Linked DNA regions of Notamacropus eugenii. The protein of the gene in region 1 interacts with the protein of each later gene in a pairwise test. Links are inferred from orthologs where the notes say so. Each region holds a gene or a part of one and is shown in the gene's direction. Other genes may lie near its edges. The genes, in order: EGLN3 and FOXJ2.

The links.
Region 2: the proteins of EGLN3 (region 1) and FOXJ2 interact in binary tests that used the Homo sapiens proteins (3 or more experiments, as listed by UniProt). The two-hybrid records come from large-scale screens. The link is inferred for Notamacropus eugenii from reciprocal best matches to the Homo sapiens genes EGLN3 and FOXJ2.

What each region holds. Positions count from the first base shown.
Region 1 is NC_092878.1:51,260,545-51,277,592, reverse strand, and holds the start of EGLN3 (prolyl hydroxylase EGLN3), read left to right. Parts: upstream 1-9,829; 5' UTR 9,830-10,184; coding exon 10,185-10,541; intron 10,542-17,048. UniProt on the Homo sapiens protein: Prolyl hydroxylase that mediates hydroxylation of proline residues in target proteins, such as PKM, TELO2, ATF4 and HIF1A. Target proteins are preferentially recognized via a LXXLAP motif.
Region 2 is NC_092874.1:191,596,223-191,612,551, reverse strand, and holds the start of FOXJ2 (forkhead box protein J2), read left to right. Parts: upstream 1-9,467; 5' UTR 9,468-9,968; intron 9,969-16,329.

The sequences.
Region 1 (17,048 bases):
TGGTTTTACTCCAAGAAGAAATATCACCAAATGCCATTCTCTCTCCCTCTTTTCCTTCCTTCCTTTCTTTCTTCTTTTTCTTTCTCTTCTGTCTCCTTCCCTTTCTTCTTTCCTTCCCCTGTTTTTTCGTCCTTCATTTCCTTCCTTTTCTCCTCCTTTTCTTCCTTCCCTCCTTCTTTCCTTACCTCCCTCCTTCCTTATTTCTTCTTTCCTTCCCCCTCGTCTCTTTTTCTTTCCCTCTCTTACTCACGCTAGTAAGCACCCACGCACAGATTCATTTTAGGCACTTTCTCGTCACCAGTTCCATATAATTAATGGCAGTCTCTGTTTCCTGAGGGAAGAGTTTTGCAACATAGTAGACTGAGGTTTGAACTCGTTACAAAGTTATTCTCTACAGACCTGTACATCATTGGTGGGGTAGTTAGGTGGTGCAGTGGATAAAGCATCAATGCTGGTGTCAGGAGGACCTGAGCTCAAATCTGTCCTCAGATACTTGACACTCACTAGCTGTGTGACCTTGGGCAAGTCACTTAACCCCAATTGCCTCATCCTGGGTCATCTCCAGTCATCCTGATGAATATCTGGTCACTGGATTCAGATGGCTCAGGAGGAGAAGTGAGGCTGGTGACCTGCACAGTCCTCCCGCACTCAAAGCAAAGTCAAGTGAAAGTCATGTCATCATTTCTCCAATGGCATGGTCTTCTTCAGCAACAAAGGACGAACACACACATCATTGGGATTTACTCTTGGATTCCTAGAAAGACTAGGAAATCCCTAGGGTAGGAAAGGCAGACATCCTTATTTGTAGTTTGAAAAGCCTCTTACTGTAGTCAAAATAATGATTTATGGTAAGTTTCCACTTATCTCTTTATTTTTAAATTTTTCTTTTTCAAAATAATGAGCATAACAGTCAGAAACAAACATTTCAATATGTGAAAACTGAAAAACAAAATTGTATATGAAACAGCAAATTGTATTTCTTTGATGCAGCAATACCTACTACACCTACTCCTCCCAGAAATCAAAGAAAGAAGAAAAGGTTTTGTATGGATAAAGAAAACTTATGACAGTTTTGCTTTGCTTGTGACAAAGAAGGAGAAGCAAAGGTATATCAATGTGCTAGGATACTATTGTGTTATAAGAAATGAAGAAAAAGACAGTTTCAGCAAAATCTGGAATTGTTTGTATGAATTAACACAGAGTGAAGTGAGGAGGATCAGAAAAACAATTTGTACTGTGACCTCAATGTTGAAAAAAAGAGTAATTCTGAAAGACTTAAGAATTCTAATCAATGTAATGATTATCCACAATTTCAGGAAGAATTAACCAATGATGAAGCTGCTTACCTACCTTAGGACAGACAGGTAATGAGCTAATATTCAGAATGAGACACATATTTTTGGATGTGACCCATGTAGTCATGTTTTAGCTAACAATGGTTATTTGTTACAAATGGGGTTTTTTGGAGTAGTATTCCTTTTTTGCTTTTTTTTTCTCCCAGAGGGGAGGTGGCAAGTCAGAGGAAGAAAACAAATACTTGACTAAAAAAATAAAGAGAGAGAGAGACTCAAAACCTTTAAATGGATGACTAAAAAAATAGGCACATAAAAAAGTTGCCTCCTTTTGCGCAAAGACATCACACAAAGGTTTCAGAGATTTTGCTTTGTTTGGTTTTATCAAAAAGATCAATGTATTTGTACAGAAAAGGGAAATAAGTTTTATGGCACTTGGTTTTGGCAAGCATACTTAGCACTCTGAGTCACTGGCATTCTCTTTGAAAGATGCCAAAAAAGAAAGAAAGAGCAAAAATTAAGAAAATTTAAATATAAATAAGAGAGCCAAAAAAAAAAAAATTCAGAAGGAGGCACAAGTGGTCGATTTTGTTACTATTCTTAAATTTAATATATGCTTATCTCCTTCAAAAAATTAAATAGTATGGAAGAAACCAACTATCTCAGTTATCTCTGTGACAAAATTAAGTCAAAAGAACTAAGAATGATGAGTCATTTACGCAATACTTTGCGGTTTATAATGTGCTTTCTCCCACAATTTCATGAGTTAGGTAGCACAAATGTTAGTATCCCCATTTTACAAACAAGGAAGCTGAGGTTTAGTAAAGTGATTTATTCATGGTCAGTGTTTGTTAAGTATACTCCCACATCCAATGAGTCACCAAACCTTGCTGATTGTCCTCCTACAACATCTTCAGTATCTATTCCCCTTCTTTCTGTTCATATGATCAACACTGTAGTTCAGAAATTTTTCTCCTATTAATGCAATAGCCGCCTTCAGCTCTTTCCCTTCTATAAACCATCCTCCACACAGCTTCCAGAGTGATATTTCTAATACACATGTCCCCTGATCAAAAATCTCCAGTGGTTTCCTACTAGCTCGGAGGTGTATGAGGTGTTCAGGGAGAGCTAGTGCTTCTGGTGTGAGCCCTTTTCAGGACTGTTCATCCACCTTTGGTGTCCATCTTTCACCCCACTCTCACCTGTGGCTTCAAGAAGCTGTATCATGCACAATGGCCACATCCCAGTAAAATTGTCTAGGCAGATGGGCTAAAACTAGGTTTGAGGGTAATCAATATGCTCGAATTTTATCATTCCTGCATGAAAGAATATATGGGGAAAGAATTGGGCATCACTCTTTTTGTTAGTTATTTACATATGGGAAAAGTATTACATGTTCAAAGACATAATTCTGTCACTTGTTATTAATCTGGGAAAGTCGGGTCAGGAGACTTGGGTCCAAATTCCCATGTGACACTTGGCAATTCACTTAACTTTGTCCCTCATCTATAAGAGAGGCCTAGTGGTACTCCTACTCTCTACTTTTCATCGTTGTTGTGAAGGAAGCATTTTGTAACCTTAAAATATTTTACAAATGGGAGCTGTTCTTATGATATTATTACAATAACTAAAATGAACAAGTTAATAACTAAAACGAATGTATTCTAAAAGTTAGTAGCTCCATTGCTGTGACCGTTGGAACCACTCAGAACAAGTACCAGGCTCCAGCCTGTCTGAGCTTTGTTGTAAACAGACTGATTTTTTGCCAGCCGTGGCATCCCTTGTCTCCTCTGCCAAATGAAGTACTGGCATCTCAGACTTGGTTTAGAATCATAGAATATCAACACTGGAAGGGACCTCAGATTTAATTTGGATAAGCTTGCCCAAGTCTCTCCTTTTGTCCTGTGAACTGGGGTGAATGGTATTGAATGAATAATCTTAAATGTCTTGAAGAACCACAGACAAATCATTTGGGGGGGGTGCATCTAACACAGTTTTCTGATATTAATGGTGGTGTCTGTTGTGTCCATGCATTTATGTCTGCCCCCCAAAGCTCTTTATTCTGGAAAGTTATTTTGGCTTCAAAACTCACAAACTCACACCTTGTAAATCCTCTCTGCTCTTGCAAAGTGATCAGAGACAAAAAAGCTGCCAAAACTTCCATTTAAGGAGGGTACCCAAGCCAGCCATCTCTTCATTTTGCATCAGACTTCATTCTTGTGTACTTTCCAATCCCAGTTCTGCAGTAGGTATCTTCTCCTACCCCTTTCAGTTTCTTTTTCATGCATAATCATCTCCATTAGAATGGCAGTTCCTTGAGGGCAGGGACTTTGGTTGGACTTGTACTCCTGGTTTTTAGAAGAGAATATTTAATTAATTCTTGTTACCTGAATGATTTCACTGTTAATAGACAGATATACAATCTTCTAGAGAAATATAAAATCTTCCAAATGCTGTCCCTGGAGTCAGAGGACCTGAGTTCAAATTCTGTCTCTGTCTCCTATTACTTGTGTCACTTTGAGAATTATCTCTCCGGGCCTCACTTTTCTCATCTGTAAGTTAAACAGGATAGATTAGATGTTCTTAGAGGTCCATTCCAGCTCTAAATCTTTGGTCTTATAAAGTACAGTAATTAGGCCCTTAGTGGTTTAAAAATAAAAACAAAGTTCTTATCTGAGGGAAGGGGAATGAATGAATGAATGAATGAAAAAAGAATGAAAAAGCATTAACTATGCACTGATTTTGTCCCAGGCATTGTACTGTGAGCTGGGGGTATAAATAGAAAGATCAAGACAGGTCTTTCCCTCAAGAAGCTTACATTCAAATAGGGGAAGATTTTATGTATATATGTATGTATATATGTATATATATAAACACATGCACACACATAAACATACATGTATACATATATACACATATCCATATACATACGGTATTGCTAATGAGATTAAAGATCTTCCCCATACATCAATGGGCCTGCACATTAAGGGAAGCTTGATTAGGGGAGGCCTATACCTTTTGTTAATTTCCAATACACTAGTTCTCAAAGGTTGTGATACCCTCTGGCCCTGAAAAGTGTAAAAATACTCTGAGGTGAGGTTTTACTTTGGGGCTTAGTTTTTGGAAGAAGGTTTGTTTGTCAGATGAGACTCTAGGAAGCCTTTGGCAGCAGCCCCAGCTTCGAAAACCCAGATATTGGTGCTTCTCTCTGGTAACTATGTATAGCCACACAGTTATCGGTCTGTTGATCTGTGATGTATGTATTGCTTACTTTCAGACAGTTGGAAGCCCTGTCTGTTGATTTTGATTTCTCTGTATTTTCTCTGAAGTTCAGGGTGTTGACTTTTCCCCCTGAACTAAGTGAATGATACATGTGTTTGATTAAAGTGATTGTTGACCCCTCAAAAGTTACTTTCCTTTTATAAAAGCAGATCTATGAACCTGTACAACAGGCTATCCTGAATGTGTCAGAGTGCTTGCTTTTAGTAATAGATTTCCTAGTCCTCACTGATCTTTTTATGGCAGTATCAAGTCACTATTCTAGGCAGGAAGTGTGTTTTCTAGGTATCTTGCTCTCTGGCAAACTTTGGAATCAATTGTGTGACATGGGAGACACTGGCAAAGTGCTGCCCAGCATGGAGTGCCCGAATCAAAGATGATGCTGTACTCTAGGAGAAAAGCAAAATTGGAGCAGCTCAGAAGAAACGTGAGATGAGCAAATTTCAAGACACCTCTATTCCAAATGTTCACATGAACTATTTTTGTCCAACCTGTGGTATAGACTTCTGAGGTCATATTGACCTGATCAGTCACAGGTGGACACACTGTACCTTGACTTCAATATGTCATTCTGGTCCTTCTTGAGTTAAAGGACGACAACCAACCAATTCTCTGGCCCTATTTATATTCTTCCTTAAGTTTTGTTTTCAGTGAATCTATTTAGAAATCATCTAATTCAAGGGTTCTTGACCTTTTCTGTTACCTAAACACACCCCAGGATGTGTTAGAGCCAACAGACCAACCACCACTGTGAAACTTTTAGTGTGAGCATTTATACTTCAAAAATCAGCAATGACTAAAAGTTAGGGCTCAATTTATTGTTTTGTTGATTAGGAAATGTTAATAATGCAGCTTATACAAAATTGTCAGATAGTTGCTAAACATGTACCAGCACATCACTATATAGACTCCTCTGACAGTCTGTGCCTGGGGACCCTTTCTTAGAAGAATGCTTATAAATACATAAAATACATAGGGTTGCAAAGGAAACCAAGTGCATTGAAATGCAGTTATTTATATCTATATAAAGAAACACAAGTCCACAGACTCTAGGTTAAAAACTCCCAATCTAGTCCCACCCCTTTGTTTTAAAAGATGAGGAAACCCAGGCTTAGAGAGATCACATGACTTACTTAAATCACACCATTAATTAATGGTTAAAAACAGGACTCAGTCCCACCGAATATCACAGTTGAAGGGGCCCTCAAAAGACATCTAACTCAACTCTTGCCGGAACAAGAGTTACAATTACAATACTATCTCACCTCCCCTACCCCACCCCCACTTCCACACAATTAATTCGGCAGCCCTAGGTCCCTGGAGCTCCCTATTCAGTAATTCTTCCATTGTAGAGGGCAAAAATAGGTAAGTAGTTGGTTCTTGAAAACTGATTCCCACCTCCCCTTCCAATCCCAGCTCAACTTATAAATCACAGAAGGGAGAGAGTAACAGAGATGAGTCTATGTTCTTCTATCCGTTTATAAAATGTGAAGTTGTCCTGATGGAATTGGAAGGTCATTTGACCACTGTCTAGCATGAGATTAGCCACACCTCTGACGACTTTTAAAAACCTAAACCTGCCAGCCCTGGAAGCTGGAAAGATACAGCTAAGGCTAAGAAGCAGTTTTGTGGAATGTGCCTTTATCAGAGGACACCAGTAGGGTGGGGGGCACTTTACCTCTTAATAAGTCAAAAGAGCTATTTTCCCTAAAGAAGGAGAAGGGGGGCAGGGAGAGAAAGAGAAAGAAAGAGAGAGAGAGAGAGAGAGATGGAAGAAATAGTTTTAGGGAGTGTGGCTTATGGCAGCAGAGAAGAGTCAAGTATAGATTCAAGAGACAACTATCTCTGGCAGTTTGACAGTTGAGACTTAGGAAGTGGTTCACCCAAAAGAGGCATTTCACCTAAGGGAGGGTAGCATGAGGACACCAAGAGAAGAGAAAGCATCTGAGGCATTGTACTGGAAGCATGAATTTCTTTGGCCATATTTCATTTCTTCATATATGCCCCAGTATTAGCATACTCTAATATGATGCTCACTTCTCCTGCTGTATACTGGTGGAAGTATATACCACAGGTTTATGGTGAAGGGTATGTTGTACAGATGTTGTTACTGTTGCCATCTTAGTAAATGCCTCTACTTTGGGCTAATTGTGTCTATCTATTCATTATTAAAGTAAGCACACTGGTTGGTGCTAGTGAGCTACGTTTTTAGGAGTCCAAACTCAAAGTATGTTAGAAGATATGAGAGTAGACTCCCTCAGGGGCCAGAATCTGTAAACTTTTAATGGCTGGGAGCTTTTCTATTAGAAACAATCTTGGCCAATCAGGGCTAATTCTTAAAACTGATTGATTTCCTTTGTAATCTACCAAATTCAGGAAGTGGAGGGAATAGGATTGTATATCTTAGATTTTAGAGTAGGAAGGGCATCCCCAAGTCCAACCATCTCATTTAATAAATGGGAAAACTGGGGCACTGAGAGATTAAATAATTTGTCCAAGGTCATATAGCTAGCATATGTTGGAGGTAAGATTCAGATTCAGAACTTCGTTACTGAAGTCCAGCACTCTGTCTTGGAAGAAGTATGCTTTGGACATTGATCTTGGATGTAAAAGGAATTCGAAGACGCCTCCTTTGTGTTAATACCTTACCTTTGTACCACCATTTTCTCTTTGTTCTCTCTCAGATGCAACATTTTGGGCGTATATTATCTTGCTCTTTAATCATTTATGAAACTAATCTCATAAACTAGAGCTGGGCAGGAAAAGCTAGGAAGATTACAAACAACTTGTTAGTTAACAAGTACAGAGCTCCCATGCAGAGTAATAACTAGGCAACTTAAAAGCTTTAAAATTGCACAATTCCATGTTGGAAAGACTGGCTTATGCTTCTGATGAGAAAGAAGAACTTTTGAGGTTAGCTCCCCCTTTGTACTTCAGAGTTTTGCTTGGAGCTTATTTCTTTAATTAGAGCAACATAGTCTAGGCTTTCTGAAATATTTTTAAAGTTTGGAACTAGGGACTTGCTGGGAAACCTTCGTTAGCTGTTTCAGTGAACTCATGGGTGACATCTAACACTCCCATGTAGGCTAGAAACAGATTAAAATGTAATTGGGAAATATTTAACAAGGTAAGTAACACTACAATAAAACATAGATAATGTTACACTTTAAAACTAATTCAATATGCAGCTTGCAGGAATCCTTATGTATGGATTAGTGGCTGCACTTTTGTTTGAGAATGACATAAGGGCCTAGACCACTAAGAATTTCAGCAACTTGCTCAAAGTCACGAGGCTGGTATATGACAGAGACAAGACTTGTACCCACATCTTCCTGACTCATGGGCCAGCTCTCTATCCCTGGATGCCTCCTCTAGGCTATTTATGTAATGTAAATTTAATATATTTTATTTTAATATAATTTTATTTTATATTTTGAATATTTTATTTTTATTTTAATATAAAATTTGATTCTTACAACTCTGAAAACAGTGATATAGATTTTTATCAACCCCAGTTTACAAATGAGGAAACTGAGGACTAGAGATTCAATGACATTATATTCTATATTCTGGGATCAATTCAAAGTCGGGTCTTCCCAACTCCATAGTATCCTTAATAGCTGGCATTTACGTAATGTTTTAAGGTTTGCAGAGCATTTTACAAGTATTTCCATCATAACCACCTCAGAGTTAGGTGCTATCATTATTATTATTTCCTTTTTACAAATAAATAAACTGAGACAGACAGAGGTTAAGTGACTTGCCCTGGGCCATATAGCTCCTAAGTATATGAGTCCTGATTTTAACTCAGGTCCTACAGACTCCACCGTCCAGCCTTCTATCTTCTCAGTGTACCTTTCAAGACAACATTTTTTCTTGTTAGATTCAAATAGGAAAGAAAACATCACCGATGCCTATTTTATATAGATATTATTGGAAAACAATTATGCAAGTTAGGTGTGTTTTCCCCCCTTTCAATTCTAGTCAGCAACGTAAAGAAGGAAAAAGAATGTACAATCCATTGAACTGAACTGTTTAATCTATAGATAACTGAAATTTTACTTGTTTGGTTAAGCCCATCCCTAGGGTATAGTTCACCTGGCTATTAAGATACAACCATAATAACAACAAAGCAGGAGCTGGGGCATAATTACACTGACACATATCATGCCAAGGCAAACATTTTTCTAGCTCAAACTCTCCTGCCTCGCAGCACGTCTTGCAAGTAATGGGCAGTCGATAAATATTTGCTGATTAACTCATTATGGAAGAGTTTTCTTTTCATTTTCTATCTCTCTTTCTGTCTTTCCTTTCTTCTTTGCCTTTCTTGCTTTATTTTTAAAATTTTATTTTTAAATTATCTAGCATTTATTTTGTCTCTTTTCCATCCCCCCCCCCCCCAACCAACGAAAGACAAAAAGTAACAAGTAAAACAAAAACCCTAACCAAATGCCCCAAAATATGTTTCCATCTGCACCCGGAGTACAACACCCCTGTCTGGGTAACTTGCCTGGGAAATCTTGGTTGGTCAATGAATTAATGAATCTGTGTTTTCTAAGAGAAAATATGATTTAATAATAGTTCCTATTTGTACGGTGCTCTAAGGTTTGCAAAGCACCTTCCACATATTATCTCATCTGATCCTTATAAAAACCCTGACAGGTGGGTGCTATTATTGTCCTCAACTGGACAGTTGTTGAGGACAGTTTAAGTGACTTGCCCAGGGCTACTAAGTATTTAAGGCTGATTTGGGAACAGGTCAAGCCCCTGGGTCCACCGGGTCATCTACTTGATTCGGTTTTTGAAATCCTGGTAGGCATTACGCCGGGATTTAATATAGATGGAGAACTTGGTAGAAGAGCTTTCAGATTAAACTGCTCAAGCTTATGAAAATTTATGGAAAAACAAACAAAAGAGCGAATCAGTAGCATGCAGACTTGACATCCCCCTGTCAAACAGTACAGACATGCAATCGGTCAGCCCTACTCCTAAACCTGAAAAAAAGAAAATAATAAAGGAACAAAAGAGAAAATGAAAACAACGCCAGCAAGTTCTAAGAGAACCCATCTGTCCCGCCCGTTTATAAAGGCGCGAGGGGGGCGGTGTCCTCTAGCACGCTGACCTCTGGGCATTTGCAGCCAGGGGCGGGCCTCCTGATGTCCGGGGGTGTGAGTGTTGCCCAGTTAGGGGCGGGACCTGGTGACGTCCTGCGGAGTTTGGGTGGCCCGGTAAGGGGCGGGGCGGGGCGGGGACGGATACTCTGCCCCGGAGTCCTTGTCTAGTCCGCAGTCACTTTGGCTGGCGCTCCAAAAAGGGGTTCCCTCTAAGTCTCCACGCTGGGCCAGTCCAGTCCTGGGTCGATGAGCCCCGCGCAAACTCCTGCGGAGCTCGGACGGTGCTTTTGTTAAGTGGACTCCACTCAAAGAGTGGTGCGCTGGGTGCCCCCCGGAGCTGCCGGTGCGGCGCCGTCTCCCCCACCCCCGATCTCGAGGGGCAGGAGCCCTGGCACCCCGGGGGCCTCAAGCTGGGTGTCTGTCTCCCAAAGTCGCTCACACGCCTCCTCCAGTCACCCAGGCTGGGGCCCCCTCGGCTCCCCTCCGCTCGGAAGTCACGATGCCCCTGGGACACATCATGCACCTGGATCTGGAGAAGATCGCCCTAGAATACATCGTGCCCTGCCTGCATGACATCGGCTTCTGCTACCTGGACAATTTCCTGGGCGAAGTGGTAGGTGACTGCGTCCTGGAGCGCGTGAAGCAGCTGCACTGTAACGGGGACCTGCAGGACGGCCAGCTGGCTGGACCCCGCTCCGGGATCTCCAAGAGGCACTTGCGGGGAGACCAGATAACCTGGATCGGGGGCAACGAAGAAGGCTGCGAAGCCATCAGCTTCCTCCTGTCCCTGATCGACCGGCTGGTTTTGTACTGTGGAAGCCGCCTGGGCAAATACTATGTCAAAGAAAGGTCCAAGGTAAGGGCGCTGTTACTTTCAATTGGGGACTGGGAAGAGCGGCGCCCTGACCGATCGCTAAGTTAAGCACACCACTCACGTTGGCAAGAAACTTTCCCCCAAAATGTTTATACAGAGAAGACTAGTTTGGGTTAAAACAAAAATAATACAAAAAAAATAGTGGTTTGGGTTAAAGACTTGGACCGAGGCTACTTTAGCGGACACTTAATTTTAAATGAATTAGCCCCACGGATAGTGTGGTACAGTGGAGTGAACGTTGGATTTAGGAACCTAATTCCGGCTTCTGCCACTTAGCATTTGTGCGTTCTTGGACAAGTCATTTTCCCTCCTCCGAGCCTCAATTTCCTTAACGTGTAAAATGAAGGTGTTTTTCCTAGATGTCCTCTGAGGTCTTTTCCTGTTCTAAAGTTGTGATCAGCAGCACTGTCTTTGAAGGAACTTCTTTCATTGCTGGTAAAAAACTAATCAACCTTGGTTTCTGTATAGTTTGGTGATAATTTGATACTGAGAACCAGTGGACTAGACAGATGAAGTTAGCATTGGACACGTCTTAAAGATTTCGGAATAGGTGTAGCTTTGTTCTTGTTTAGTCATCCCGTAGTCCCCCCCATACCTGTTGCTCTGGTGTGTCTCCAAATACACTGTCTTTGGGGACCCATAGTTGTGGACGGCAGCTTGTGCAAGGTGTAAGCTCTTTCCCTCTCTCTGTTTCGGTCGGTGCGTTTGGCCCTTTGGCCCCAGGTAGGGTTGATCTAATTTGTTGCTTGTGAAGATCTTTCCTTGCTACCTTCAGCCAGGCCCTTCTGTAGCAGTAAATAGTTGGTGAGAGAGTAGTCTAGGACTTTTGGAAGGAAAAGAGGTTTCAGTTCACCTATCCCTCAAGAGACTCTTCTTGAGGGTAATTTCTTAGATGTGCTTACGTTGTATATTGGCAGCATCTCTGCAAAGGTGGGAAAGTTACCTTAACTGTAGTATCTGTGCTATTTGTCTACAGACTTGGAGGGACTTGCAGACAATCTGTCTTCAGGTGTTTATTGGTTCAGCCCAGGTTGTTTCCGGTAACAGCTCCAAGTGACTCTACATTTTCTTTTATCCTAAGGGAGGCTGAGGGGTAGATGAGCATAAGTACCTTTTAAAAACCTGAGGGGCACAGAGGAAAGCAAGCTGGCCATCAGGTACCAGAAGAGTCATCTATGTATTATTTGAGGGGGAAATAAAGTATTTTTCACAGTTCAAGACTGATTCTGTGATAAAACAAACCACTGCCATCCCTTGGCCCATGATCTGAGATGAGTTCTGTTAAGACAAAAAATAAAGGACAAATAGCTAAGATGTAGAATTGAGTCCTCGGAGAAGTGAAGGAGGGAGGAAGAAAGAGACAAGTATTAATTAATTAATGAAGTGTCCTGTGCTTTATAAATATTTGGTTGTGAGGAGGTTTGGAATAGAAAATTTGGAGGAAATTAGAAGATTTCTCTAAGAGGAGTTCAAATTATTTAAAGACAAAACCAAACCCCTAAACATCTGCTTTTAACTTGGGGAAAATTGCATTACCTTCACAGAATTCTTGAAGTCTGCCAAGAGGCATTTATTAAACGCTCAGGAAGTCATTTTAATTAATTAAGATACTAGACTTTCTGGTCCAATTTTGAAGGACACTCAAGATGCCTAAAGTTCTTTCAAAGCAAGATTATACAAAGTTTGAAATAAATGCTTCTTGTGGACACTGAAAAAAATAGCTTTGAGGTAGTAAAGAGTAAGTAATCACTAAGGAGATCCATCATTCCATTTAAACCTCTCCAAGTTTTAGCTTCTTTATGAGCAGCAGCCTGACCCACCTATAGGGGATTGTGGATCATCCCTACTCAGTCCTTCCTTTTACAGAGAGGATAAAGTGACTTGCCTGAGTTCTCATAGTTACCATTTAAGTCAACAAGCATTAATTGTGTCTGCTATGTACCAGGCGCTATGCTAAGGGAGGAGGGGGTGGTGTATGTATACTAATCCCCCCCACCCCCCACCTCCCTCAAAAAAGGAACCCAACCCAGGTCCTGAATCAAATCAAGTATCCTTTCCACTGGACCACTCTGTTTTTGCAAGGCCTGTCTTTCAACCCTAAAAGTTTAAGGGTAAAATTTTAATGGAAAGAATCTGAAACCCATCCAGGGCAAGAAAATTTGGTCCCATCAGGATTTGATGGTTTTATCCCATATTGGTGTGATATCCTTCCACGATCGGAATAACTTAATTAAATGTAACTCATCCAAAATGTAAGTGGATTTTAAAGTTTTTACTGGGTGGATCCCTCAAATACTTGTCTTATTTGTCTTTTCACCCTCTCCTAGGGCCCTCCCTCCATGCTTTCACACTCACCCACTCCACCCCACTCAATGTTTCACAACTTAGTGTTGGTAGATTTTTGTTGAATGAATGCTTTTTGAAATTGAAGCAAGGAAATTTGATACTGATGTCCATTCTAACAAGTGGAATTTAGGAGGTTTCTCACAAGGCAGCCTACCTTTGTCCAGAATATAGATTCTCATCTGCTGTCCTAATATGTAGCTCTTCATTCTCCAAATGTATGATTAATAGAAAAAGTAAGGCAAAATATTCTCGAACCAATTAGAATGTGTGTATATTCACATCTCTAGTGAAAAAAGCTCTATCAGAAGAAGAGAAGACATAGGGTCATATAAAGAAACCTCTTTAGCGCTCTTGGATTAGAGAGACAGAGGTGGTATCCAGTTCCTCATTTAGTAAATTTTGGTAGAAAGGAAACCATTTTCTTTCGAGGAATTTTCTTAACTTTGCCTGTTTGTCTTCCTTTCCTGTCCTTTACTTATTTCCCTCCATCTCCAGTATGGAGAGTACTCTATCCTAGGCATGGAAACCTAATCAAACATAAGGCAGAATCTGCTAAATCTATTTTAGGTTTCCTACTGTTCTTAAAGCTGAGGTATGTATTTATTTGTTTGAACATATGAATAATACTTTTCTTACTTTTAATGAGTCTTGCGAAGGAGCAAAAGCCATCAAATTGTAAGTTTGTCTAAACGCCAGGCTGAAAAGGAGAAATATTGGTCAGAGTTCAGTTGCTGAAGAAATGAGGGGCTGCTGAGATTTTAAGAGAACCCTTCATTAAGTTACCTGGGCTGAATTGACCTTGGCAGTTGAACTTGTTGGAAACATATCTTCAGGTTCTTAATTAAGGAGTCTTTGGGGAAGTCTCTTGGTTGTAATTTCTTTGCCATGTGCAGCAGCATGGCGCCCCCTAACTTCAAGTGTGGTCCTTGCTTAGAGACCCTCCCTGTATTCGTTTACAAGACTGCTCCCTCCTTTTTCAGGAATGTAGGAAATCTCCAAGACAAATATTGGTCACTACTTTCTCCTTTTACTTGACTGCATAAATCTTACGGAACAGGGATTTATTTTCCACTGGGATTGTAATTTATAGAACCAGGAGTTCTCTTGCTCAGCAATAGTCAACAGCTAGTTAGATTTTTTACAGTAACTCACCAGGTAAAAATGTCACTAACTCACAAGAATGGATATATACATATACATATACATATATATTTATACACACAGACACACACGTATACATACATGTGTGTATACATACAAACATTCATATATATGTTCTTATGTATATGTGTTATGTATTTTCATATATATTTTTGAACCGTAAGCCCAATTCTAATTCACATTTCACTGATTGCCAAGCCTTTCCCTTAAATGACTGTAGAAGCTGATTCTGAGTTCTTGGAAAACTCAAAGGCTTTAGTGTTTCCCATTACTATTTTTAGAAAATCCACTTATTAACTGAGTTGATCACAAATAGCCTTAACTGGAGTAGCCTCAGACCGTCATGTGTTTGAGGACATCAAGGAAGTAGCTTCCCTACCCCAAAGGGATTCTTGTGTGACCCAGCCAAACAATCCATGGGCAAACCTCACCATTTAGCCTTGAATTATTCTTGGAGAACAATTAAATGGATAAGAAGTTTATATAAAATTAAAAAATAACACCACCACCCACCAACCCGGGTGTAGATTTTTGTGGGTTTTGTTTCTGTGCTGATGGATGGTTTTTCCTATCTAGCCTTGACTTCTTACTTCTTCACTGGCCACAGAGAAATAGATGAAATAGAGAAATAGAAATAGATAGAATGGGATAGGGGCAAGGGAGATAGCTGCTTGCTTTCATTCTTTGGATCTGTAAATGTAAGCTCTCCTCGATGTTGATAAGACCATCTTGTCACCTAAACCTCTGTTTCTTAACCTGGATAAACAATCCAGTTCACACATAAAATGCCATTAATATAGAGGCTTTAAAGAAAAAGGTTTTGGTTAAAAACTTTTGTACTTTTTTCAGATAGTATGTGTTACATTCTTATGCAAATACATCTGTGGGGCTTCCAGTTCATATTAAATTTTCTCAAGAAAGTGCTTTGATCCATCCGAACTCTGAAAAAGTCATGGGATTGGCTTCATATTTGGGACCTCTCAGTTCCAGTTGTAATGGACAGAGTAGCTGGGACAGAAGTAATTTTGAAAAAACACTTCCTTTAGAGAAAACCTAGAGGTTATTTTATTATTTTTTACTTATGCGAACTTGATCAAGTCTCTGTTTTCTGTAAATTGGGTTGAACTGTACTAGATGAATAATCTTAGATTACCTTAAATGCCATAGATAAAAGACTTTTATAAGGTAATGCTCTGATATTAATGGCTACATCTTGTGGTTAAATATTGAGATCTTTTAATTAATAGATATAAACCTTCCACGGTTAGCATCTTGATAGCTTAAAACAAAACAAAACAAATTCTTGGCTTTTGGTTGGAACACACCCAATTTGGAAGTTTCCAGATTTTCTAGGGAAGCAAAGCACTCCAGAAAACAATTTCACAATCCTCTTTGCTTTATCCATTTGCAGTAGTGAATTGCCTTCCTAGGCTAGAAGTGCACGTATATTACTTATTTCACTCTCTTGCCTAGTTTATACCCATTTCCCTACATTCTGTGTTCAGTGAAGCTGGACCAGACGGCAGCAGTTTGTTTATAGCTGCCAACCCTTGTCTTTTCCCTAGACTTAAAGAAATCTAATTTTATTAATTTTTCATATAGTCTTTAATCTTCTTTCCCCTCTGGACCTGCTGAAGTTTTAGGAAGAGAAAACCTGTAGGCTTAGAAAAAGGATCTTAGAAATCTTGCGTTCTACCCATCTAGACTTAACTAAGCTTCTTTTGTTTAGAGAAAAAATAAATTTTAAGCAAGGTATTTGAGTAGCTGAAGGACATGAGGTTGATAAGAGGTCATTCCTTTTGGAAGTAAGCTGTATTCAGAGAAATCTTAGAAATGGGGAGGAACCCAAAATTGTCCAAATAGGTCAAAAAGGATATAGAAAATGAATTAGCTGGGGTGGAGTAGTCTGTTTGGAATGTTTGAGTACTGTTTTAAAATTGTATTTATGTATATTCATTTATAAATTAATTTATTTTGAGTGAATGAAACTTTTGTTATTCACTTTATTTTTTATTAAGCACAGTGTTGAGTGTCACAAATAGAAAAATAAGACAGTTCTTGATTTAAAAAGGAGTTCATATTCTAATGGAAGAGACAATACAAATGGAAGGTTTTAGCTACAACTCCCTCGGGAAAGTCCCTTATGGTACAGTGTCAAAACAGATGGCTAATGCCTCTTCTTTAATATCATTTTTGTTTGAAATATTTGAAATAAAATTCTCATCCTTTAGTTCATATGCATCCTAAAAATGGGCTCATAGATTTAGAGATCTTAAAGGCTATTCTATTGAGTCCAACTCCCTCATTTTGCAGATGAGGAAACTGAGGCAGAGAGGTTGTGACTTGCTAGAGCCAAACAGAGTCAGTAAAGTCTCTAAGAGAGGACTCTTTCTGGCTCTAAGGCCAGCCTTTTAACCCTTTCATTACCTAGGTACTTTTAGCTATCTGGTCCCTCTAATCACCTATACATTGAACTTATCTTATTTTTCACTCCTCCCATCTTCTTCACCTTTCTTCTGGTGAAGCAAAGTTTTTCAACTCTGAGTTAGAATTTTTTAGAATTTGCAGTGGCCATTTCAAATCTGCTCCGCACCCTTCTGTATTTTCCTCAGTTGAAGACTATATCTTACACTGTCGACACAGAATGGTATTTGTATAAATATGAATCCGTAAGTATCTTTTAGTCAGTCAACAAGTCTTTATTTAGGATACCAACAACATGGCACCCTTTAATCTTTTAACTTTTAAAAGTTTACTCAAGTCTCTGTCCTATGGTGGATTGGGGTGAATGGTACTGTGTGATAATCTTAAATTGTACACTTTTAAAGTGGGGGTGTCTGTGGGTGGGCTAGGGAGTTGGTGGGGGTTAGGGGTGGGCTAGGGCTTGATACTGACTACTGGGAAAACAATTATGAGACCACTGCTGAATTCAAGAAGCCTACTTTTTAATAATGGGGGAAGAGTACATGCACATGCCTTAAA
Region 2 (16,329 bases), on another chromosome or scaffold:
ATAGTTTTGATTTCTTTATCTGAAAACTGCCTCTTCTTATCCTTTGACTATCAATTAGAGACTGACTTGAGTTCTTATAAATTTGACTCAGTTTCTCTTGAGAAATGAGGCCCTTATCAAAGAAACTTGTGGTAAAAGTGCTCCCCCAGTTTTCTGCTTTCCTTCAATCTTGGGTGCATTGGTTTTGTTTGTGCAAAAACTCTTGAAGTAATCACAATTATCCATTTTACTTCTCATAATGTTCTTTTTCTCTTGTTTTGTCATGAATTCTTCTCCTGTCCATAGATCTGACAGGTAAACTATTCCATGCTCCCCTAATTTGCTTATGGTATCACTCTTTATATCTAAATCATGTACCCATTTTGACCTTATCTTGGTATATGGTATGAGATGTTATTTTGTACTTAGTTTCTATCAAACGGCTTTCAAGTTTTCCCAGCAATTTTTGTCAAATAATGAGTTCTTGTTTCAAATAAAACACTATTTTTTTTTTTATATATAATGATCAAACACTATGGTCAATTACCTATTTTGTATCGTGTACCTAATCTATTTCATTGAATCCACCACTCTATCTCATAGCCAGTAACAGATTGTTTTGATGATTACCACTTTGTAATACAGTTTGAGATCTTGTACAGCTAGTATGCTTTCCTTCATATTTTTCCATTAATTCCCTTGATATTTTTGACTTCTATTCTCCCAAATTTGTTATTATTTTTTCCAGCTCTATAAAATCATTTTTGATAGTTTGATTGGTATGACACTAATTAATTAATTTAGGTAGAATTATCATTTTATTATATTGGGTTGGCCTACCCATGAGGATTAATATTTTCTCAATTTTTCGGATCTGACTTTATGTGAAAAGTGTTTTGTAATTATGTCCATATAGTTCCTTGATTTGTCTTGGCAGGTAGACTCTAAAGTATTTTTATATTGTCTACAATTATTCTAAATGGAATTTCTCTTTCTATCTCTTGCTGTTAGACTTTGTTGGCAATATATAGAAATGCTAATGATTTATATGAGTTTATTTTATATTCTGTAACTTTACCAAATTTGTTAATTTTTTCAACTAGTTTTTTAATTGATTCTTTAGCTCCAAGTATCCTAGTCCTATCACCTGCAAAGAGTGCAAGTTTTAATACCTCATTGACTATTTTAATTCTTTCAATTTTTCCTCTTCTTTTATTGCTACAGCTAGCATTTCTAATACAATATTGAATTATAATGGTGATAATGGGCATCCTTATTTCAATCCTAATCTGGATTGGCTTCTAACTTTTCCCCATTACAGATAATGTTTGCTGATGGTTTTTAGATAAATATTACTTATTATTTTGGAAAGCTCCATTTATTCCTATGTTTTCTAGTGTTTTTTTTTTTTTTAGTAAGACTGTGTTGTACTTTGTCAAAAGGTTTTTTCTGCATCTCTTGAGATAATTTGAATTTTTTTTGTTTTTGTTAACAATATGGCTGATTATGCTGAAGTTTTCCTAATATTGAACCAGCCCCACATTCCTGATATAAATCCCACCTGGTCATAGTGTATTATCTTGGTAATATCTTGCTGTAAAATCTTTGCTAGTACTTTCTTAATTTTTTTTTGTATCAATATTAGGGAAACTGGTCTATAGTTTTCGTGCTCTATTTTCACTCTTCCGGGTTTAGGTATTAGCACCATATTTGGTAAAAATCTTATTTTGCCTTTTTTTCCAAATAGTTTATATAGTATTGGAATTAATTGTTCTTTAAATGTTTGGTAGAATTCACTTGTGAATCAATCTGGTCTTGGGGATTATTTCTCAGGAAGCTCATTAATAGTTTGTTCAGTTTCTTTTTTAAAGATGGACTTATTTAGATATTCTATTTCCTTTTTTTGTTAATCTGAGCAATTTATATTTTTGTAAATATTCATCCACTTCACTTAGATGGTCAGACTTATTGGCATATAATTAGGCAAACTAGCTCTTAGTAACTACTTTAATTTCCTCTTCATTGGTGCTGAATTCACTATTTTCATTTTTGATATTGGTAACTTGGTTTTCTTTTTTTTTAAATCACCTTAACCTATGACTTATTTTATTGATTTTTTTCTTCATAAAACCAGTTCCTAGTTTTATTTGTTAGTTCAAAGGTTTTCTTACTTTTACTTTTGTTAATCTCTCCTTTGATTTTCAGGATTTCCTATTTGATATTTAATTGGGGATTTTTAATTTGTTCTTTTCTATTTTTTTACCTGCATGCCCAATTTCATTGATCTGCTTTTTCTCTATTTTATTGATATAAGTGTTTAGAGATATAAATTTTCCTGTAAGTACTGCTTTGGCTCCATCTCATAAATTTTGGTATATTGTCTCATTGTCATTCTTTTTAATGAATTTATTGTTTCTATGATTTATTCTTTGACCCCCTTAATTTTTTAGGATTAGTTTCCAATTGTAATTTTTATCTATCTTTCCATAGCCTTTCGTTGAATGTAATTTTTATTGGTTTATGATCTTAAAAGGGTGCATGTTTACTATCTCACCTTTTCTGCATTTGGTTGTGAGGTTTTTATGCCCTAATACATGGTCAATTTTTGTTTAGGTGCCATATACCACTGAGGAAAAGATATATTCATTCTTTTTTCCCCATTCAGTTTTCCCCAGACGTCTATCATATCTAAATTTTCTAAAATTCTATTTACCTCCTTAATTTCTTTCTTATTTTGTGATTAGATTTATCTAGTTCTGAGAGGGGAAAGTTGAAGTTTCCTACTAGGATAGTTTTGCTTTCTATTTCCTCCTGTAACTCATTTAACTTTTCCTTTAAGAATTTGGATGCTATACCATTTGGAGCATATGTTTAGTATTGTCTCCTTTTAGCAGGATATAATTTCCTTGCTTATCTCTTTTAATAAGATTTTTGTTTTTGTTTCATCTGAGATAAGGATTTCTACCTCAGCTCTTCCTACTTCTACTCTAGTCTACTCCCTTACTGTGTTTCCCTGTTTCAAGTGTGTTTCTTGTAAACAGATTGTTGCATTGTTTTATAATCCACTCTGCAATCTGCTTGTTTTATGGGTGAGTTCATCCCATTCACATTTGCAGTTATGATTACTGTGTATTTCCCTCCATCCTTCTTTCCCTGTTTATCTCTCTCTCTCCTTTCACCCTGTTCTTCCTCAAAAGTGTTTTGCTTCTGACCACTCCCTCCCCCAATCTGCCCTCCCTTCTATATCTGCCCAACCCCCTTTTCTTCTCCCTCTCTCTACTTCCCTGTAGGGTAAGATAAATTTCTATGCCCAACCAAGTGTATATATAATTTCCTCTTTCAGCCAGTTCTGATGAGAATAAGGTTCAAAAATTGCCGACCAACCTCTCCATCTTCCCCTTTATTGTAAAAACTCTTTAGAACCCTTTTTATGTGAGATAATTGACCCATTCTACCTTCCTCCTTCTCCCAGTGCATCCCTCTTTCTTACCTCTTAAATTTTTTGCATATCATTCCATCATAGTCAATTCACATCCCATGCCCTCTGTCTTTGCATACTCTTTTAAACTGTCCTAATCAATAGATAAAGGTATTAAAGTTACAAGTATCATCTTCCTGTGTAGGAATGTAAACAGTTTAACTTTATTGAATCCTTTATGATTTTTTTTTCCTGTCTACCTTTTTATGCTTCTCTTGAATCTCGCATTTGAAAATAAAATTTTCTGTTCATTTCTGGTCTTTTCATCAAGAATGTTTGAAAAATCCTCTCTCATTAAATATTGATTTTTTCCCCCTGAAGGATTATACTCAATTTTGCTGCATAGATGATTTTTGATTGTAATCCTAGCGCCTTTGCCCATCAGAATATCATATTCTAAGCCTTCCAATCTTTAATGTAGAAGCTGCTGAATGCTGTGTCATTCTGACTGTGGCTTCACAATATTTGATTTTTTTTTTCTTTCTGGCTGCTTGCAATATTTTCTCTTTGATCTGACAGCTTTGAAATTTGGCTATAATGTTCCTGGGAGTTTTCATTTCAGGATCAATTTTAGGAGGTGAATAGTGGATTCTTTAAATTTCTATTTCACTCTCTGGTTTTAGGACATTAGAGTAGTTTTTCTGAATAATTTTATTTGAAGATGATAACTAGGCTCTTTTTTATTATGATGGCTTTCAGTTAGTACAATAATTCTTAAATAATCTCTCCTCCATCTATTTTCCAGGTCAGTTGTTTTTCCAGTGAGATAGTTCACATTTTCTTCAATTTTTTTCATTCTTTTGATTTTGTTTGTTTCTTGATGTCTTATGAAATCATTAGTTTCCACTTGCCCAATTAAATTAAATTAAATTTTAATTTTTAAGGAATTATTTTCTTCAGCAAACTTTTGTATCTCCTTTTCCATTTGTCCAATTCTACTTTTTAAGTTGTTTCTTCAGTGAATTTTTGTACATATTTTTCTATTTTATTTTGCTTTCTTTACCAAGCTGTTGACTTTTTTCATGATTCTTTTGTATCATTTCTTTCCCCAAATTTTCCTCTACCTATATTTTTTTATTTTTAAAATCCTTTTTGAGCTCTTCTAGGAATTCTTTTTTTGGGAGGGACTGACACCAATTCACCTTTTTCTTTGAAGCTTTGTATGTAGCCATTTTGACATTTTTGTTCTGAATTTGTATATTGATCTTCCCTGTCACCATACTAATTTTCTATGGTCAGGTTCTTTTTATGTTGTTTGCTCATTTTCCCAGCCTATGTCTTGTCTTTTCACTCTATGTTAAAGTAGGACTCTGTTCCTTGGGTGGAGTGAGCATTGTTCCAACCTTTACATTTTTTGTGCTGCTGATTTTAGAGTTGCTTCTGCAGACCTGTAAGTTTTCAGTTATTTCAAGGTGGTATGATCTAAGGAGAGATTTGGTCACTGCTCTCTTGGCCTGTGCTTTGGTCTGTGAGTGACCACAAGCACTCTTTTGTGCCCTGGAACTCTGATCAGTGTCCCATTCCCCTGTGGTTTTGAGCTGTAGTGTGCTAGTGCCGATCCTCAACCTGGAACTACAAACTGGGTCTGCAACCTGGATCTTCATATGGGCAATAGAACAGAGTCCTGCACTTAGCGTAGTGTCACTTAGTGTAGTGCACTTAGTGCAGCAAAGTGTTCCTTTTAATTTCCTTCTGATGAGTTGTCCAGCCCCCTTACCATGGCTGGGTTAAGAATTCTTGGAAGTCATTGCTATTCATTCAGTGTGCTGGCTTTTCAGGGACCAGTTTGCTAATGGCTTGCTGCCTTTGCTGGACTTTGCTCAACTCTCACCCAAGTGAGACAGACCTTTTTTGTAGACCTTATAAGTTGTCTTGGGCTGGATAATTGTTTCATTCTTTCCTTTTGTCGGTTCTGTCACTCCAGAATTCATTTGGAAGCATTAAAGTGGTTTGGAGGGGAATTTGGAAAAGCTTAGGTGAGTCCCTGTCTTTACTCCACCATCTTGATTCTGCCTTAACAAACTGTTGAGTTGAACTATTAGAGACTGAGACTGCTAGTAAAGGGAGGACAGCTATCTATTTGTCTGCAAAGCTGCAATGGGGTGTATATCTGCACAATCTGTTATCCTACCACACCCATATTTGCTAAGTCTTCTCAGAAATACACTACTTATATTACACACAAAGTTGGGCTACCCCAAATTGAAATTCACATAATTTGACATTTATCATCTGTTATGAGCAGGGCAAACTGCAAGGCACTGGGAATACAAGTTTAGGTAAAACATAGGTCTTGCCATGGTGTAGTTTCTAATTTGGTAGAGTGATATAATACTACAATACAACAAAATGCAATAACTACAATTTAAGAAATAAAATACTAGACTTAAGAGTTGGAAGTGCTCTTATATAAATGCACCAGAAAAATATTAAACAAATTGTTGAGAGGTACATAAGAAGAAAAGGACATCAGGGAAGGCAATCAGGTAAACTTTTGCCACAGGTGGAAAGGTTTAGATTTGAAAACCTATCCAAGGGTTTGGCTTATTTGTTGTTTTTTTTTTGTAGACCTCCTGATGCCACATGCTAGCTCCCCACCTTCCTTCCACTCCATCTCCTACATGTAAAAGGGATGGGAAAACCACCTGGAAACCTACATTGGGCAGGATGGTGCTACGTGAGCCAGGGACCAGTCCTTGAGCTTTGCTATGCCTCAGTCTTCCGTCATCTCCAGGGACAGACGTGTGTTCTCCTTCCCTGCCTCCCTCCTTCTGTCCCTTTTAAGAGGCATGAGGTCATGTGTTAACAGGTGTGTCGGGAACAGAAGAGACGCAGAAGCAAGTGTCGCTTCTATTCCCGGTCACTAGGAAGTGTGCTGACTTTAATGGGTTAACAACGCACACACGAGACGCTGACTTTGGGTGAGAGTGGTACCCTGCTGAGCCCCACTAATTAATTACACTTTCTATCTTCTCATAAGCCCATCTTTTCCTATTTCCGGGTTCTCTTTCCCTTCCGTTCTTCGGTAAAATAATTGGGCTCTCCCCGTCCCGCCTCCAAACCTACAGCTAACCCGGCGAGAAGTGGGAAACCAATGGGAGCCTCATCCCTACTGCGTTTTGTTTATGCTTTTCCTTACGTCATTTCCAACGTTAACCAATCAGTAGGCTAAGGAGGCGGGGCCAATTTTTTTACCATTTCCTGCCCATGCAGTCACCTCTCTTTGCTAGTCTCCGACCTCATGACAGACTGTTAAATTAGCCAATTGAAAAGCTTGTTTGTGCCAAACCTACTCAGACTCTAACCCATCAGAGAGAGACAAAGAGCACCAGGGGAGGGGAATAGAAGCTTGACCCTTCTTTTGGAATGGGTTTGAGGAAGATTACAATTGGTTGAACTTCCAGTTAAAGCTGGGTGGTCGCAGCGTGGCATTTACTTCGAGGGTCGCAGCTTTCCTCTTCTTCCTCCACCCCATGCCAAGTTGTGCCCTGTACCCCACCTCCCTACCCCCTGATCGTTTCCAGCTTCCAGGAAAGAGGCCAGCCTTTGAGTGCTATGCTCTCACTCCCCTTCTCAGGCCACCCAGCCCTAGGTGCTCTTTTCGATTCCCCGCCCCCCAGCTCTGGTGTCAATCTCCCCTTTCTGCGCGTCTCTTTCTGCGACTCTCCTCCCATACACAGGTTCCTGAGTCCAAGCTGCAGGGGTGGAGGGGGGGACGAGGGAGGAGCTGGTTGCTGGGGAGTGACAGAACCATCTTAAGGTGGAGCGGGACAGTTGGGAGTGTCTGGATCTCAAAAGCGAGGCGAATGCCACTTTCTCTACAGTCTCTGCTTTTCCAATGTTGTGCTTTGCCCAGTACTGATTAAAGTAATCTCCCAATCCTGTAGGCCCCCGTGATGCCCCCCATGATCCTCCTGCCTCATCTCCAGACCAGTCTTTGCCCCCAAACTTTAGGTAGTCCCCCCAGAGATGACTTAAAGGACCCACAATGGTATTTAGAGGGTAAGTAGAAGAGGAGAGAAAAGGATTTTATTAGCCAGGGATAAATTTATAACCTTGCAATATGGCTTATCTGCCTCTTAGGGCTTCAATCAATCAACAAAACATGATCAAGCCCCTGCTTTGTGCCCTAAGCGCCGGCTTTACAAAGAAAAGTAACACAATTCCTACCCTCAAGTGGCTCACAATCAAATGAGAGACACAGCATACAAATATATTCAAACAAGCGATATGTAGGCTGAATCGACTCATATACATCATGGCTAGTGTTTTATTATCCTTGCTGGAGGAGGCGTTAGGGAGAGGAGAGAGAGCCAGGCTAGAGGGTAGATAGGAGATGTCCAAGGAGAGTGTAAGCTTGTGCAGTGGCGACCTGCATGAAGCGATGCTGAATAAACTGAGAACAGTTTATACTGTTACAACGTGACAAAGAAAAAAACAACTTTGAAAGAGTTGGGAACTCTGATCAGTTTCATGACCAACCATGACTTCAGAGGAATAATGCGAGGAAACCTTCTGAGAGGGAAGAATAAGAGACATTTTTGGACACAGTTGTTTTAACTATCCATATTTGTTACAAGGGCTTTATTAATCTTTTTCTAACGGGGAAGAAGGTTGAAGGGGGAGTAGGAATAGAGAAGCCAAAAAAAAAGGGGGAAAAAAGATTGTACAGTGGTGTTAATATTATCTAGGGGGAAAACAGGTTCTGAAGAGGGAGCTGAAGCTTGTCCTGTAAAGGGTCAGGAAGTTGTGAAGTTGTTAAAGGGATTGTAAAGTGAGTTGCAGGAGAGTTCTTAGTACCTTGCTTTTCTGTGGTGTGAAGAATCCCACCTTCTGCAAGAAGGTTTTTCTTATCCCTTTTAATGCGAGTGGCTTCCTTCTGGGATTACTCTGTTTATCTGGTATCCAGCGTGTTTGTACACCGTTATTTGCATGGAGGTCCGCCCCATTAGACTGTGAGCTCCTTGAGGTCTGGATACTTTTTGTCTTTATTTGTATCCCAGCGCTTCGAATAATAACAAAAGATAAAGGACAGGCGCTCAATAAAAGCTTGTTGACTTCATTTTAACAGTCCACAAGGGACTTTGGGATGCATATATATACATATATACACACATACATAGACATACATCCATATGTATAGATGCCAACTCCCTTGAGCCTGACAGGTCTGGTGGGGGTAGCCTCTCACTTTACAGACGAGGCTTAGAGGCTGCGATCTGCCCAAGGTCACAAGCTACAGGACCCCCAGGTTTCCGACACTTAGGCTCCGCGCCTCCAGCCCGAAGTGGACGGAGCATCTGGGACCATCCCGGGGCTGCTCGTCCCTCCGGGATGGGTGGGCGGAGGGGGTGACTATCTAGCCGGAGGGAAAGAGCCCGGGGCGGCCGCCCGGGCCAGCGGGAGGTGGGAGCCTGCGCACCTCCCCAAGCCTCCTTAACCTGGGCGGGGAGACGCCGGCCGTGACTGCCGGGCTGGGCCGGGGGGCGGGGACACGAGGGGAGGGGGGCGAGGAACCGCGCGGAGGCCGGGGAGGAGCCGGGGCCTGCAGCGGAGCGCAGCCGGAGCCCGAGCCGAGCCCGGGGACCGCGCGTATGTTCGCCAGCTGCCCCACTCTCGCGGAGTCCGGGTAGCGTGGCGTCCGGGGTGGCGGCGCGGGCAGCCCCGCGGGCCCCGGGGGACGAGGCGGCCGGCTTGCCGCCGCTGCTCCCCCGCGCCGAGCCCGCAGCCGCGGCCTCCGTGCCGGGCCAGCCGGGCAGCCCCCGCGGAGCGCCGAGGGAGGCGAGACGCCGCGCCCGGGGCGCTCGGCCGGCCTCTGTTGGACCGGAGACCCCTAGAGCCCGGGCCGTGCCCCGGGGGAGCGCGTCCCCCCCCGGGAAGCAGGGGCACCCTCCTTCCTCACCTCCTGCGTAGACACACTCACTTCTTAGTTCCAGACTTTCTGGGCAAAGGGGGAAAGGAGAAAGGCGCCCTCCTCCTCTCGTGCCCGCGCTCCTTTGGCGAGAGCCGAGAAGAGTGCCAGGACCAGGGCTGCGAGGGCACCGCAGGGATCCCTCCCGTACTCAGGAAAGGGCAGCGACATCCCCACCCCAAGTCCGCGGGCTTCTTCCTAGGACCTAAAAAGTGGAACCGGGCAGCGCCTCTCCCCCTCCTTCTCCAGCCCGCAGAAGTCCCTCGCCCCCGAAGGACTCCGTTTTGAGGGGAAGGGGACTCTCCCAAGGGGGAGGAGACAACCCCGGGTTGGGTGAGGCTCCTCCCCTTCTCCCCAGGATTACTGCCAAGGCGTGGGGGGTCTACCACCTCCCGCAGGTAGGACCTCCTTCCCCTCCTGCGGCTGCTCCACCTTCTCGGGGCACTCACCTCCCCACCCCAGCCTGGGGAACTCGGCAGAGCCCACGAAGAGCTACTGAGGATGGGGCCCTCGGTCTGCCCCTAAAGAGAAATACCCCTTCAGCCTCACACTCCGGTGCCAGGTGGTTCCCCTCCTTTGCCAGGAGAACCTCGGAGGCAGGTGAGTAATGCCTGTGGTCAACCTCTCCCTCCTCCCTCCCTTTCCTTCTCTGACTCCTTTTATGAACTAAGTGGATCAAAAGAGGGTGGAGGTCCAGAATTTGGTTTTGACATCTAGGAAGTGGATCTTTTTGGGCCAGGGAGTTGCAGAGGGATCAGAGTAATGAATACTTGGAGAATGGATCTTCTAGAGATGACAAATGGATCCTGGGAGGTGGAACTTCCGAAGCTTGTGGAGTATGGATCTTGTTGCCAAGACTCTGGAAAATGGGTTCTCTAGAGTTTGGGGAGAGGTGGGATTTCCTCCTCCTCCCCAAGGAAATCTTGCTGAGCATGCTGAGAAGCAAGGGGATGGGAGGCATCAGAAAAGTGTGCCAGCACCTTCTGATCTTTATATTTGTCATCCTCAGCCCACCTTGCTCCCAGGCCAGTGCAACTCTGGAATTGGCTTTCATTCACCAAGCACTTCTTAAGTGCCTTTCATATGCCAAATTCTGTGCTAGGCCCTGTGGCCTGACAGGGCAAGGGCTGGCACACTTGGACAGATCCTAGGACTCTGTGTCTGCTTCCTGATGTCTAGATCATAGACCAAAGAGTAGGTGGCCCCAAGCTTGAAAGGCTTGTAGTCACATGAAGTTTTAACTTTCCCTCTAGCCCCTTGTGTGTTTGGAGATTTTCTTTAGTGTAACAGAATCATGGAATGATCATCATGGGGTGTAGAATTAGAGAAGACCTCAGACATCATCTTATTCAACCTCTTCATTTTACAAATGAGGAAACAGAGGTCCAATGAGTGAAGAGATTTGCCTGGGATCTCACAGGTTTTAGAGGGGAGTTGGGATTTTAACTCAAGTCTTCAGATTCCAAACCCAGTCTTATCTTTGCACCTCATGCTGCCAGTTGCTTTAAGATTTGACACCATTGTCTAGGAGTCCTGTCAGAGTTACATCATGTCACAGCCAGCGCCTCCCTACCTATGTTAAGGAGGTTTGGCACCTGCAGGGACTCCCACCTACCCCTGGCCTGGGCAAGGGATGAGCAACCCCAGGATCAATCAAGATGCTGTATTCATGTATCCAAAGATATGTGTGTATCTCTCTGTAGTCATGAAGGTGGGGTCAGTGTCACAGAAAGCCCTCTTCCTCTGCATCTCTATCATGGGGTCATGGATGGTGTCATTTTGCTCTCATAGCTCATAGAAACTATTTGGAGTTGAGGTCTTAGATGCCATCTAGGCCAATTCCCTGATTTTGCAGATGAGGAGTCAGGACAAGAGAGGTTTTGTGACTTGCCTAAAGACACAAAGTTGATAGGGGGCTGGGTCTCCATTAAGCCCTAAAGAAGTATGGGAGAACTAGAATTTAGTAGACTGCACGACTTTGGGAGGACCAAAGCTGAAGCCTCTCCCTACAGAAAGATCTATACCACTGTGCTGTAGGGCTTCAGTTCTATTATGATTATACTTCAGGTGAGAGCAAGTGTGATTTAACCGGAAAGGGATGTGTGTAGTCAGCAGTAAGTCTTCTCAAAAGAATCTTTCCATCAAGGAGATCATGACATCTAAGAAATGTCTTAGATTATGGTTCGATTCCAGAAAAGCCTCGAATAGTTTCTTTCTAGTTCATGGCCTGGGGTGAATGCTCCCCAGCTTGTATATAAGCCTTTCTTAAGAGTGTTGAGGGAAGTCAAGGTTGCAGTAGAGAAGATACTGCTCCAAAATAGTGGGATACTGGGGACTCCCTCCTGTTAACCCTTAGACTGCCTCCAGGAGAACTATCCCTTCTGGAGATCTGTTAACCTCTCTCCTTTTTTTTTTTCCTTTTAACCTCAGGGGCAATGAGTTAGCTGTATGACTCCAAGCTTGTTAGACACCTTATCTTTTTCTGAACTATTCTAGCCTTTGCCCTCTACTTTATCCATTCCTACCCATCCCACAGCATAGCTGGGTGTGGAACTATGCTTGGGTTCTTACTTTTTCCTCCTGCTTCTCCAGCCTAACCCCAGGATGGGCTACCTAAGCTGCTGAAATTGCTTCCTGACTCAAAAGTAGCAGTCCATAGCATATATTTGGTGAGAGACAGGATCAGATCTGATGAATTGGAGCCTCTAGGCCAAGGGGCAGGATCTTCTCCAAAGGGGAATAGGATATTATGGAGTAGATTTAAGTATAAATACTCCTGAGGAGGCATGTTAGTACATTATATGACTGAATGATAATTCAAGTGTATGTCTCTACGTTTCTATGTTTGGAGTATCTATGTCTGGGTGTGATTGACTGCAAAGCTGAGAATACCAGGGTACCTAAAATCATGTTTCTGGTGCAGTCTGTACATGGGATGGACCCTTATGAGTCCTGGTGAAGTATAGACATACACAGAGTAAGGTGGGGGTAGGGAATACTTTTTGAAGCCTGACATCCTTGAATGATTATACAGCAATAATCATAAATATCAGAGTAGTCCAGGTTGGGTTCGACACCCTTGGAACTTTGGGAGTGATAGAAGATTCTCTAGGTTTGGAGGTTATCCAGAGATATTTGAGCCTTCACCCCAAGAACTTTTCATTCTGGCAAGATCCAGTTTTGCTATGACAGCTTCTCTCTTCTCCCAAAGCAGCTGACCATCTGGTCAGGAATAAAAATTATTCCAGCACCCCAGTTACATTGGGGAGCTTGATCACAGCCTAACCTAAAATGCTACCTTTCTGTCTGACCCCTAAGTGGGGTCAGGTGGAATGATGAGTTTGGTAAAGGACTATGGATTTAAAGATTGATCGATCTAATGTAGTCCCCTTATTTTACAAATGAGCAAACTGACTTCAAGTGGTTAAGTCCATTGCCTAAGGTCACATAGGTAGTAAGTGGAAATTCTGGGATTTGAACATATGTGCTCTAGGCTCAAGTTCATGAGTCCCTACAACTATGAGCACCAGAGCTTATACTTATATAAGCTCCTAGACCTGATTCTGTCTCTGAAAAAAAACAACAGCCAAAAACTAGGATGAACCCTAAGGACTTGGTAACAAAGCTGAACCAAGCAAATTTTAGGTTTTATATTTTATTCTGTCCCTGTTTTCTTCCTTCCTATTCTTTCTTCTTTCCTTCCTTCCATCTATCTATCAATCCTTCCTTTCCAAATTGGTGCTGTCAATGGGTTAGCCCTATGATCTGATAGAAAATATTTCCAGTCTCCGAAAGAGGTTATTTGAAATTGAGTGGAAGAAAATCTTGTCCTCTGGGAACTTTTATGACCTATTCAGTGTCTACCTTGGTTCAGTGGAAAGATCACTAATTCTGGAGTCAGAGGACTTGGTTTCAAATTCTGCATTTTATGATCACTGCCTGTGTGACCTTAAGCAAATCATTTAAACTGCCTAGGCCTCAATTTCTCATCTGTAAAATTAGGGGTGGTGGTGGCGGCTTAGGTTAGATGGTCTTCCAACTCCATGTCTATGCTCTTATGACAAGGGAGAGGATAAGCATTTATATAGTACCTACTGTCTACCAAGCACTCTGCTAGGTACTTTTACAAGTATTATCTCATTTGATCCTCACAACAAGCTTGGGAGGTAGGTACTGTTATTATTTCCATTTTATAGTTGAGGAAACTGAGGCAAAGAGAGCCTGTAGTCACATAGATAGTAAGTGTCTGAGGTCAGATTTGAACTCAGGTCTTCCAGATTGCAGACCAGACAACATACATCTGCCTATCTAAGTATGAAAGTGAGAGACAGCTTGGTTGTAGTGTAAAGAGCTTTGGATGTGAAGTTGAGGCCTGAGTCTGAATCCTAGCTCTGGCATTTAAGAGCAAGTAGATCGAGGGCAAGTTCCAGTCCCTCTGAGTCTGTTTCTTCTGAAAAATCAGGATAATAAATGCACAGGAGTAGAAGCAGGAATCCAATTGCAGACCATAAAGGGGTACAGAAATGTGAGTGATTAGAAATGCCATTTTATTTGAAAAGCAGTATTAGGGGTAAAAAGGGTAAAGAACTGATCATGACTCAGAAAGAACTTTCTATGACTCAGGCAGTGACCCTGGGCAAGTCCCTTAACCCAAGAATGTTATTCGAAAGAAGGTACTGATTTGCACAGGTGTGTGGGAGAAGTTCCTCCCCGGGAGGAGCTGACTCTCTATCTCAGTGATATCATAGAACTGGGGAGAAAACATTTATAATCGGCCCAGAATGGTGGAAGGGGGCTGAGGGTAAGGGAACAAGCATTTATTAACCACCTACTGTGTGCTAAGAGCTTTACAAAGGAGAGAGAGAAAGCTCGCCTTGGAGTCCGGAAGACTTGGGTTTAAGACTGGTCTCTTTCACATTCAGGCTGAATGACTGATGTAGGTCACGTAACCTAGCAGTGCCTCAGGCAATACTCTTAAAACCGCCGTTGGTCCAATTGATCTGCATTGGTAAAAAGTTTGTGTACTTAGAGCTTCCTACACTTTGAAGTTAGAGGTCCAGGCAGAAAAGCCGTAGTAGTAAAAATATTATGAGTCAATCTAAGTGTTTGTTTATTTAGCAATCTATCTAGTATTTATGAAAGGGAGAAATCACTTCTTTACTACCCTCTGCTCTTATCACTCTCAGAAAGCATATTTATATAGAGAAACCTGTCCCTTTAAAAAAATCAGTTTGTTTCAAGAAACAAAAATACATTTTTCTCTCTGTACTTCCCCCATATGGAGAAAAAAAAAGAAAAACAAAACCCTTGTAACAAATATGCATAGTCAAGCAAAACTGATTCCTCTAATGGCATGTTCAACAGATCTATGTCTCATTTTGCTTCTTGAATCCATCACTTCTCTGTCAGAGGTAGGTATCATGACTCTCCCATGATGACCTTTTACCAGCTCTGGATAAGTATTACTTTTCGATCTCCCAGACCAAAGACAAGATGATGTGACCTTGTTTAGGTTCTGTGGCACTGTAGTAGCATGAATCTCCCCTGGAAGAAAGAAAGGGCTAGACTAGTAGTGGGGGTTGAGAGGAGAGTGGAGAATGATAAGATGGAAACACCTTCTATTTTTTCCTTCTAATAATAACCCGATGATTAGTCTCAAGCCATTTTTTGGGGAGCATGACAAATATGAGCACAATAAGACTTAATTACTTATCTCAGTGGGAGAAGGGGTGAATTATGGGTAGGGATTATAGTCTGTATCTTTTTAGTGATTGGATTGGAAGGGTTGGTTAGGTGTATTTAGGGAGTTGATGGCAGTATTGGGAGTAGAATTGAGGTGATATGTTTGGGAATCATTTTTATGAGAAATAGGAGGGGTGGTAAGGGAAATAGGATGAGTTAAAGGAGAATGGGGATGGAACATCTCTGAGCTGTAGCCAGATGTGGTTCCAAGGGTCATTGCTGTAGGCTAGGGAAGGGCCTGACTCAACCAGGAGCAGGGGGGACCTCTTCCTCCAGGGCAACTCACAATCACCCTATCCTTGCTATGATGTGCACATACATGCAATGCTGAAGGAAAAGTTCCCCAGCACTTTGAATTCACCCTAATGCTCCTGCTCAAGCATAGGACAGTTTTTTAATGTGATTCTCTAGGACTTTCCATGTGCCATTTCCTTGACTCCTCCACAGAGATCAGAAATTTTGGTAGCAAATATTCACCTCCTGTAGCACCCAGTCAGGAAAAGCTGGGAGCCTGACCTCTTGAGAAGGGAGTTAGTTCTCCATTCTCCTTCTCCTCCCACTCCTCCAAGTATGGGGTTTTGCTTTGGCTGGCCAGAGGCCTGGCTTGGGCTCTGTCTGTGATGGCTGTCACAGCTGCCCACTCCCTCCTAGACGTGGCAGCTTTCTAATTCGGTTTGGTTTGGTGAGGTGTTGGAAGACCTGTTGGTGTCTGAAAAGACAGGTGACTCACCCTGTACATTTCTATGGTGTAGATCAGGTCCAGAGACCAGAGCATACAGGAGAAATCTCTTCCTGGTGCTATTTATAAACATGGCATATTTTTTTGGCTTGTCATTCGTCTCTTGGGTTGCAGTTCCGTCCTGGCTGCTTAGACCCCTAAGGCACTAAGGTGTTTCCTCCAGCTCTGGGGAGCTGGGCTTTCACTTTGCGTTGCAGCATGGGTGTGTTTGTTCATGTGAATGTCACTACTGGGTGCATGTACATACATGCATGGAAAGCTCAGGTGGGATACACCCTTGGTGGAAAAGGGCAAGAAGTTCTGGGGATTCCTGGGCCCTGGGGGAAAAATGGGGGCATTTGTTACGGGGGAAGAATGGTCATTTTTTAATAGGTGACTTAGGTTTAAAGGTAGATTGGAATTGTTAACAGCAGTCTGTTGTAGGAATATGTGTTTGTGGATCAGGAGGAGAGATTGCATTCATGAATGTGGCTCAGCCCA